Linked DNA regions of Coturnix japonica. The protein of the gene in region 2 purifies or fractionates together with the protein of the main gene of each other region. This does not show direct contact. Links are inferred from orthologs where the notes say so. Each region holds a gene or a part of one and is shown on either strand. Other genes may lie near its edges. The genes, in order: KIF23 and ECT2.

The links.
Region 1: the proteins of ECT2 (region 2) and KIF23 purify together in Homo sapiens (co-immunoprecipitation; 3 studies listed by BioGRID and IntAct, with this or other methods). This does not show direct contact. The link is inferred for Coturnix japonica from reciprocal best matches to the Homo sapiens genes ECT2 and KIF23.

Annotation. Positions count from the first base shown.
Region 1 is NC_029525.1:17,539,147-17,543,455, reverse strand, and holds the start of KIF23 (kinesin-like protein KIF23), read right to left. Parts: upstream 2,837-4,309; 5' UTR 2,713-2,836; coding exon 2,702-2,712; intron 2,606-2,701; coding exon 2,536-2,605; intron 2,240-2,535; coding exon 2,111-2,239; intron 340-2,110; coding exon 234-339; intron 1-233.
Region 2 is NC_029524.1:16,995,185-16,998,999, reverse strand, and holds part of ECT2 (protein ECT2), read left to right. Parts: intron 1-807; coding exon 808-923; intron 924-1,102; coding exon 1,103-1,165; intron 1,166-1,568; coding exon 1,569-1,791; intron 1,792-2,647; coding exon 2,648-2,784; intron 2,785-3,428; coding exon 3,429-3,548; intron 3,549-3,815. UniProt on the Homo sapiens protein: Guanine nucleotide exchange factor (GEF) that catalyzes the exchange of GDP for GTP. Promotes guanine nucleotide exchange on the Rho family members of small GTPases, like RHOA, RHOC, RAC1 and CDC42.

The DNA.
Region 1 (4,309 bases), on a different chromosome or scaffold from region 2:
AGGCAGGGCCACCAACCTCCCCATTTACTAGACCAGGTTGCCCAGGGCCCCATCCAACCTGGCCTTGTATGGATGGCCATGTATATATATATATATATATATATTAAAAAATCTATATATAAAGATAGATGTATATATTTTGCCTAGACAAGCTAAGAAACCTTAAGACATACAAAATCATAACAACACAAAAAGACACACAAAGACATGACAGAAAACAAGGAAGCCCTTACCGTTTTTCCCACGAATGAGATCTTCAACGAGAGGTTTGGCCACAACATCAAAAAGCTCCTTTTGAGGAACGAGGGTACCAAACACTTCCTTAAATGAATACTGCGTCTGAAGTAAAGGAGACACATCACCCTAAGTCTTAAGTTCCCCTGCCCAGAAGTTCCTTGCTTCAAATGCTTCATTCTTTTTCCCTTAGCTCAATAGAATGACAAAGAAACTGCTTTAAGATTACACCTATGTTTGAACACACACAGTTGCTTTACTATAGCTCCTCTAATAATTGCTTAAGTTTGTATAACAAAGAACAGCAACCTCTGGTTTTCATAGAGCTTACGTCCACCAATAACAATAGTGATCAGAAAGCCTGACCTCACATGCAAATAGAAGAGCTCACAACCTTCAGTTTCAAGTTCAAGTTTCTGTTTGACCCCCAACCTTCATCTACACAGGTACTGAAGGAACACCAAGGACACCCACAATGGATCAAGTCATTCTGTTCTAGAATTTCATATTCTTGCTTTTAAGTTCATGTCTTTTCCCAGCCCAGCCTGTTACCAGTCACAGGTTTGCAATGTGGTTGAGATTGTGTCACACTGAACTATAGCACTTTGTTGGGAACCTGTAATTAGCCATTTCACAACCAAACCGTGCTCAGAGCTATAGCACTCTAACTCCTCAATCTGTACACATGCCCTGAAGTCCCCTTTCCAGTAAACACAATAAATGCTTGCCATAAGTGACCTGCCACCTCCTTCCTACTTTACACCATTTCACCACTTCAAAACACTTTGGATAGAAGGAACCTACAAAGATTGAATCCAACTGCCTGACCTCATCAGTGTTAACCAAAAGCTAAAGCCTATCACTGAGGGTATCGCCCACTGACAGCCACAGGACACCACCCACCCTGTTAGGGAGCCCATTCCAGGATTTAACCACCTTCAAAGTAAATAAATGTTTCCTGATATCCACTCTGATCCTCCACGGCACAGCGTTGTGCCATTTATGCATCTCACTAGTTACAGGGAGAAGAAAACAGCCCACACACTCTTCTCTCTTTATACATTAACTACAGCTTTCCCCTTTGGTACACACAGAGAAACGTTGCTCTTTGCTGACATTAAGGATATACCATCTCCTACCTTGCATGTGCCTGATATTGCTTAGAGCTGGTTTCTAAGAATCAGAGCTCTATTAACAAATCCTACTTTTGCCAGATTTAGCTTTTTTCCCCTTTTGCTCTCACCCTTCCACCCTGCAGAAGCCCTTTTGCATATAGGCCGTGCAGAGAGCCACTGAGGCCCCGAAGCCTGTCCAAGAAGGGCAACAAAGCTGTGAAGGAATGGAGCCTTAAGGAGAGCAGAAGAGGGAACTGGGATTATCAGTCAGGGGGAAACTCAGGGGAGACCTCATTACTTTTTATTATCCCCGAAAGGAGGTTGTGGTGAGGTGGGGGTCAGCTCCTGCTCAAAAGTAAATGCAACAAGAGGTGATGGCCTGAAGTTGCACCACAGGTTTAGGCTGGTTATCAGGAGATATTTCTCCTCTGTAAGAGCAATGATGCAGCAGCACAGGGCAGTGGTGAGGTCACCACCCCTGGAAGCATCCATAGGACAGACATGGAGATGTGGGACACGGGCAACGGGCATGGTAGGCTGGGGTGGGCTTGAGGAGCTCAGAGAGCTTTTCTACTCTTCTCATCCACATAGTGATTCTATATATCGATGCTGAAGGATGGAAACTATACATTCCTGCTCCAAAGGGGCTTTGGGGATTGGAAAACTCTCTTCTCTCAGAGCACCACCTGCACAGGGCCCACGGCAGCAGGGTCAGGAGTGGGACCCCCAGCAGCAGGGTCAGGAGCCCTTCAGGCCGTTACCTCCCGGTACTCCCCGTTGCGGAATATCCTGTATCCGTCGGGTGGGTGGATCTGCACCGTGTTCTCGTTGATCACCTCGATGCAGCACTCCTGATCCGGACGGCTCAGCGGCCGCACCCTGCAGTACACCTATGGGAGGACACAGCTGAGCCCCAACGCAACACAACACAACACAACACAACACAACACAACACAATACAACACAATACAACACAATACAACACAATACAACACAATACAACACAATACAACACAATACAACACAACACAATACAACACAATACAACACAACACAATACAACACAACACAGTACAACACAACACAATACAACACAACACAACACAACACAATACAACACAACACAACACAATACAGCACAGCGCGGCCTGGTCCGGCCTGCTGCCCCCCGAGTCTCCACACTCACCCCCACAGGGTCCTTCAGGCCGGACGGCGCCGGCTTCTTCAGCGCCGGCCTCCGCGGGGTCTTGACCCTCCTGTGGGAAGGAACGAGGCGTGAGGGGCGGCCCGGACACCGCGTGGGACCGGAACGAACCGAGTCGGCCCGGCCTAAAGGCCCGGGCTGGACTTACGCCGCCTTCATGGTGCGGGTCAGCGTCCACCTGCGGCCCCCAACTCCGCGCTGCCTCACCCGGCGGCCGCGCGCCCGTTCAGTTCAAATCCAACCAATCAGCGCGCGCGTCTCGCGTGACGTCACCACGCAGCATTACGTCGGGGGGAGCCACCGCCCATCCCCGCCCTGGGGTGTAGGCCTCAAGCGTTGCTATGGTAACAGCACCGGCCACAGCGCCCCCTGTCGGTGTGGGGGTGTGGGAGGGGCGGTAGGAAGAAGCCATAAATCCCATTTATCCATTGCGATCTGCCCCGAAGCTTTTATTTCCAGATGTGAGTACAGTGCAGGCCATCAAAATGATTCTCAGGGCCGGATCCAGCTGAACGAGACGTGAGATGCCCCAGGAGCCAACCAGGCCCTCAGAGGCCCAAAGCCAACCTAAGCCAAGGAGCAGAATGATGGACACCGGGTGGACACAGCCAGGTTTCATTCCCTACACACATGGACTCGAGGTAAATAAGCTTTACAATTATTAACAACCATCTCCACAGCTGTTATGTTCACAGGCAGAAACAGAATCAAATCAGGTTAGATTTATATTGATGTACATACAAATACATCAGTGCCGTCGCCCTGTTAGTGTCCTCTCTTGGTGTTGAACAATCAATTACGTTCCAGTGCTCATATATTAATACATTGATCAGCTTTCAAAGGAGTTTGTTACCAGAAGACTTAGTAGCCCCGTCATATCTTGTCACTGCAAAGTGCATCTTCTACCTCCAAGAGGTAATTACACACAAAGCCTGTTATACACCCGTATGGTTACTGAGAGATAGTGCTCCACAGGCATCACTGCATCACGTCTGAGGTGCTGGGTGACACCAAGTAACAGCCCAGTGACAAGCAGCCTCAAAGCCCTGAGGAGTTATTCCATGTGTTCTTGGAGAAGCCAAACCCTTGGGAAGGCTGCTTGACACACACAGAACAGAGGTGCCCTGGGTATTGCCTTGAAACGAATGTAAGGCAGGCTGTGGTCTGCCCCAGCCCCATGTTGGGTAGGCACTTGAGTGGAGTGTCAGATAGTTGGGGTTATACCCCCAGCACCAGGAATGTTGGGCTCAGCCCCGGGACCTGCACAGCGTCCACATCCTGCTGTGAGACTCTGCTGCTGATTGTGGGATCACAGAATGCATGGGGTGGATGGGACCCCAAAGCACACCCAGTTCAAACCTGCTGCCATGGAGGTGTTGAGCAGGTCACCCAGAGCCCCATCTCCAGCCTTGGGCACCTCCAGCAATGGGGCAAGCTCAGCTGTGGGCAGCAGTGCCAGCACCTCACTGCTGTTGGGTAAAGGATCTCCCCCTAACGTCTGACCACATCTCTCAGTTTCAAACCACTCTCCCTGACAGCAAGGACACCAGTGCCCCTCCATAAGGCGGAACTGGTGAATGCCTGTTGCTCTGGAAAGCATTGGCACATATCTCCCTTATGAGGAAAAAAAAAAAAAAAAAGAACGTTAAAGATTATTATAAATATTTCCTGTGATGAAATATCAGCTCGATTAAAAGCATTTCATAACCCATCCCCAGCCTGAAAGCCATATGTACAAACACCAGTGCAATATGTT
Region 2 (3,815 bases):
ATGCTGATCTTTGAAAATGAACGGGGCTTATAGCTGGTAAAGATTTCACTGAAGCAAAATCCTGGATTATGAATCCTAAAGCATTAGTGAGGAATCCTCACCATGGAAAGCTCTAAATTGATCTTTAGATGTCTTAAGTTCTTACAGCTGTTCAAGACTTCTATCTTCTTAGACTGATTGAAGTTAGGCCGTCTTAAAAGAAATTACAGGGTGTTTGAAAATATCCTAGGGAACTTTCAACTTTGGTATGAAGTGTTACTGGTAAAACACTTGATAGATGTTTGAGGTTTTTTGGTAGTGTAGGGTTACACTAAGAGTTGCATAAACAGTCATGAGGTAATAGATAACAATATTTCCTGCCTTGTGTTGCTAGAGCATCTATGCAATAGAGCTACAGAAGTGGGAATGCAGTGGGCTTGTAATAGCAAGCTGTCTTCAAAACATGGAAGTTGGCTGCTTTTGCCTTTTTTCTTTTTCCCTGAACTTTTTTTCACTAAAGCTTATATAAGATTATTCACAAGCTAGAACCTCTGTGTCACACAAAATATACCTGCCTTGTTGTACAAATAAGGAAGAAAAGCTTTTTAGTAAAGTATAACGTTTATTTCCAGGGAGGTTTAAATGCCCTCCAAGCTGTGCCTTCTCTCAGCATTTTTCTATGTATACTTTACTGCTGTTTGCTCGTATTATATGGGGTGTTTTGCAAGTTTTACTTGGTTATAGGTGTTGTAAAACTATCAAACCAACACCTTTTAACAATAATATTATTGTCTTGCTATTCACCTCTTTGTTTTCTTTTTTCTATAGGAGGATGTTATTTACCAGTTGGTGATGAAAGGTGTACACACTTAGTGGTTGAAGAAAGTACAGTAAAAGAGATTCCGTTTGAACCTTTAAAGAAACTTTATATTGTAAAGCAAGAGGTTAGTGCTCACGTATTCTTTAAGAAGTACTTGTATATGCTGCTCCATGTGAGACTTTTCTCTTTAGCTTAAGCTACTTGTTTGCATTCGGTGTGCAAATTGTCTTAATGCTACATACATAACTTTGAACATTTTTAACGTTGTAATTTTTTTTAATGTGTGGTTTCCTTATTCTTCAGTGGTTCTGGGGAAGCATTCAAATGGATGCCAGAGCTGGAGAGTCCATGTATTTATTTGAGAAGGTGTGTATTATGTGGATGATTTCAACACAGCTTGTACTTGGTGGTGAAATTAGTATGTGTGGAGCCAGAAATGAATGGGTTTTTTTAAGCAGCATTTAAATCTCAGGTAATGAATTGTAAGTTTACCTCTAGAGTATTAATTTGAGAAAATCTTTTGTTTACTGAAAGCTGAACCTAGTTTTAGTCAAGAAAACCAACAAAAATATGACTCCTTTTTAATATATATATATATATATGTATTTATATTTATATTTTTATTTTTACAAAATAAAAGTAGGGCTTTGTCTGGTTTTTCCTGAGGGGGGGGAAGAAATGTTCTGTGTGCTCATCTGACCTATGTTTGCCCTGAGTTGTGTTTGAAACAGCAAGTAAAAAGACTAAACTGGACTTTCTTTCTCTACAGTCAGAGAGTCCTGGCCTCAAAAAGTCTGTGTCACAACTTTCTCTGAGTACTCCAAACAGCAATCGTAAAAGACGCCGTTTGAAAGAGACTCTTGCACAGTTGACTAGAGAAACAGACATGTCACCCTTTCCTCCTCGGAAGCGCCCATCAGCTGAACACTCACTTTCTCTTGGGTCCTTGCTGGACATTTCTAACACTCCAGAATCAAGCACTACCAATGGAGGTATAGCTAGAAACCTTCATTTGCATGCACTTGCAGTGTTTGAGAGATTTCTGCGTACAATTGATAAAGGTGGTGAGGGTGAAGTCTTTCAGTATTTGCTACAGGCTTCCTGAGTAATTCTAGACTTTCTCCTTGAAGTGTGTGGTATGCAGGGTCAAGGTGAGGCATTCAGATACAGGGGCAGGCTGCTTTTCATCACAGTAAGCATATTCAACAGTACATACAGAGAGGACTTAATGGTGCTCTTAAAAACAAACAAACAAACAAACAAAAAATCAAACATTTAAAAAAAAAAACATTTAAAGACTTTAAAAGCATTATATGTTACTTGTATGTAAGAGGCAATTGTTTTAATTGAAGAGGGTAGATTTAGGTTAAATACTAATTAAGGGATTGTTCTCTATTAGTATAGTAAGACACTGCCTACAGTTAAATGTTGCAGGCTTTGCTTGTGAAGGTTAGCAATGGTTTTGGGCTGCATATATAGTATCTGAGAAAACTGTTGATGTAGCAAAGCAAAATTAGTAGAAACATAACTTGCATGTGTAATTAATATTCAGCTCTTAGCCTCCAACTGGCGCTGAGCATAAGAGGGGTGAGTCATTGACCAGCCTGTGAATGGCTTACTAGTAGTTTAATAGTCAAAGACTAATTCTGAGGTGTAAAATGTTAATATTAATCTGTAACAGGACTAATAAAGTCATTTTTAGAAAGAGTTATGATGTCTAAATAAAGAATAGCCTTTTAATCTTCTTTAATTCCCTTGAATTCTGAAAGTTTCCTTCTTGGAGGATGACCTTTTCAGGAGCTTTCATTTATAGAACTCAGTTTTCTTGTGTAAATATCTTTTAATCAGAAACGCCGAAATCCTGTGCAAGGCCATCGAGAAACTCCACTCCACTTCCGCTAAAGCAGTCTGCAAGATGGCAGGTTGCAAAGGAATTATATCAGACAGAAAGTAACTATGTTGATATTCTTACAACAATTATTCAGGTAAGCTGGTATTACAGCAAGTACTATTCTGTTGTAATAAGACACATGGTGTTTGTGTAAGTGACTTGTTTTCTTTGGGCTTTTTAGAACTTGGAGCAATAAGGGTGTGTGAGGGATGATGTATATGAGCTTACTACTTTATTGGTATATTGAGGATGTTGTTAATTATAAAGCCTGGAAGTCATAAACCAACTGCAGATCTCAGATTAGAAGCTATGCTTGATATGAAGATGTTAAACTTTAAGAAAATAGGCTCTTCATGACTTTATTTTTTTAAAGATATTAGTGCATAGAGGTGGGAAAAACACCAACGCTGTTTGCTATTGCAAGAAGAGCAGAATAGCAAGCAGTTTACGGGAACAGCTTCACTTCCTAGGAAGTTTGCTTCCTCTGTGGCTGATTATCATTCCTGAAGAATGTATGTGAGTAGAGGAGATAAAGGGATGATTCTATAGTAATGCTAACTTACCTAGTGTTTGCATTTGGAAACCACTCTTCCATAATCTCTTCCTGTTAAGTAGAAACAGGATGTATCAAGATTGTGATTGAAGGAAAGTATGATCTGGAAGACAACACCATTGTTTTCATAACTATTTCATACACAATGCATGGAAGATGTAATGACTCTTTGTCTAACACATCAGTTATTTCAAGTTCCGTTGGAGAAGGAGGGACAACTTGGAGGACCAATACTTGCACAGGAAGAGATTAAGACTATATTTGGCAGCATTCCAGATATTCTTGATGTACACACTAAAATCAAGGTAAACTGTAATTTCCCCCCGCACAGGAAGATATGATGCAAACTTTAAGTTCTGTTTGTGTTAAGCCATAGCTACTGAATGGATACATAATCATTAGGGTGAATTAAGAGCAAATCTGAAATATACTTTTAATTTATAAATGAAGTTCTTAAGTACCTGAAGTCTGAGTGTTATATGTAACTAATACTGCCATTCGTGAGCTGTACTCAGAATTAAGTACAGCGGTTGTCTGTCTTTCTTCAGCTTTGGTGTAATGAAGATAAGTAG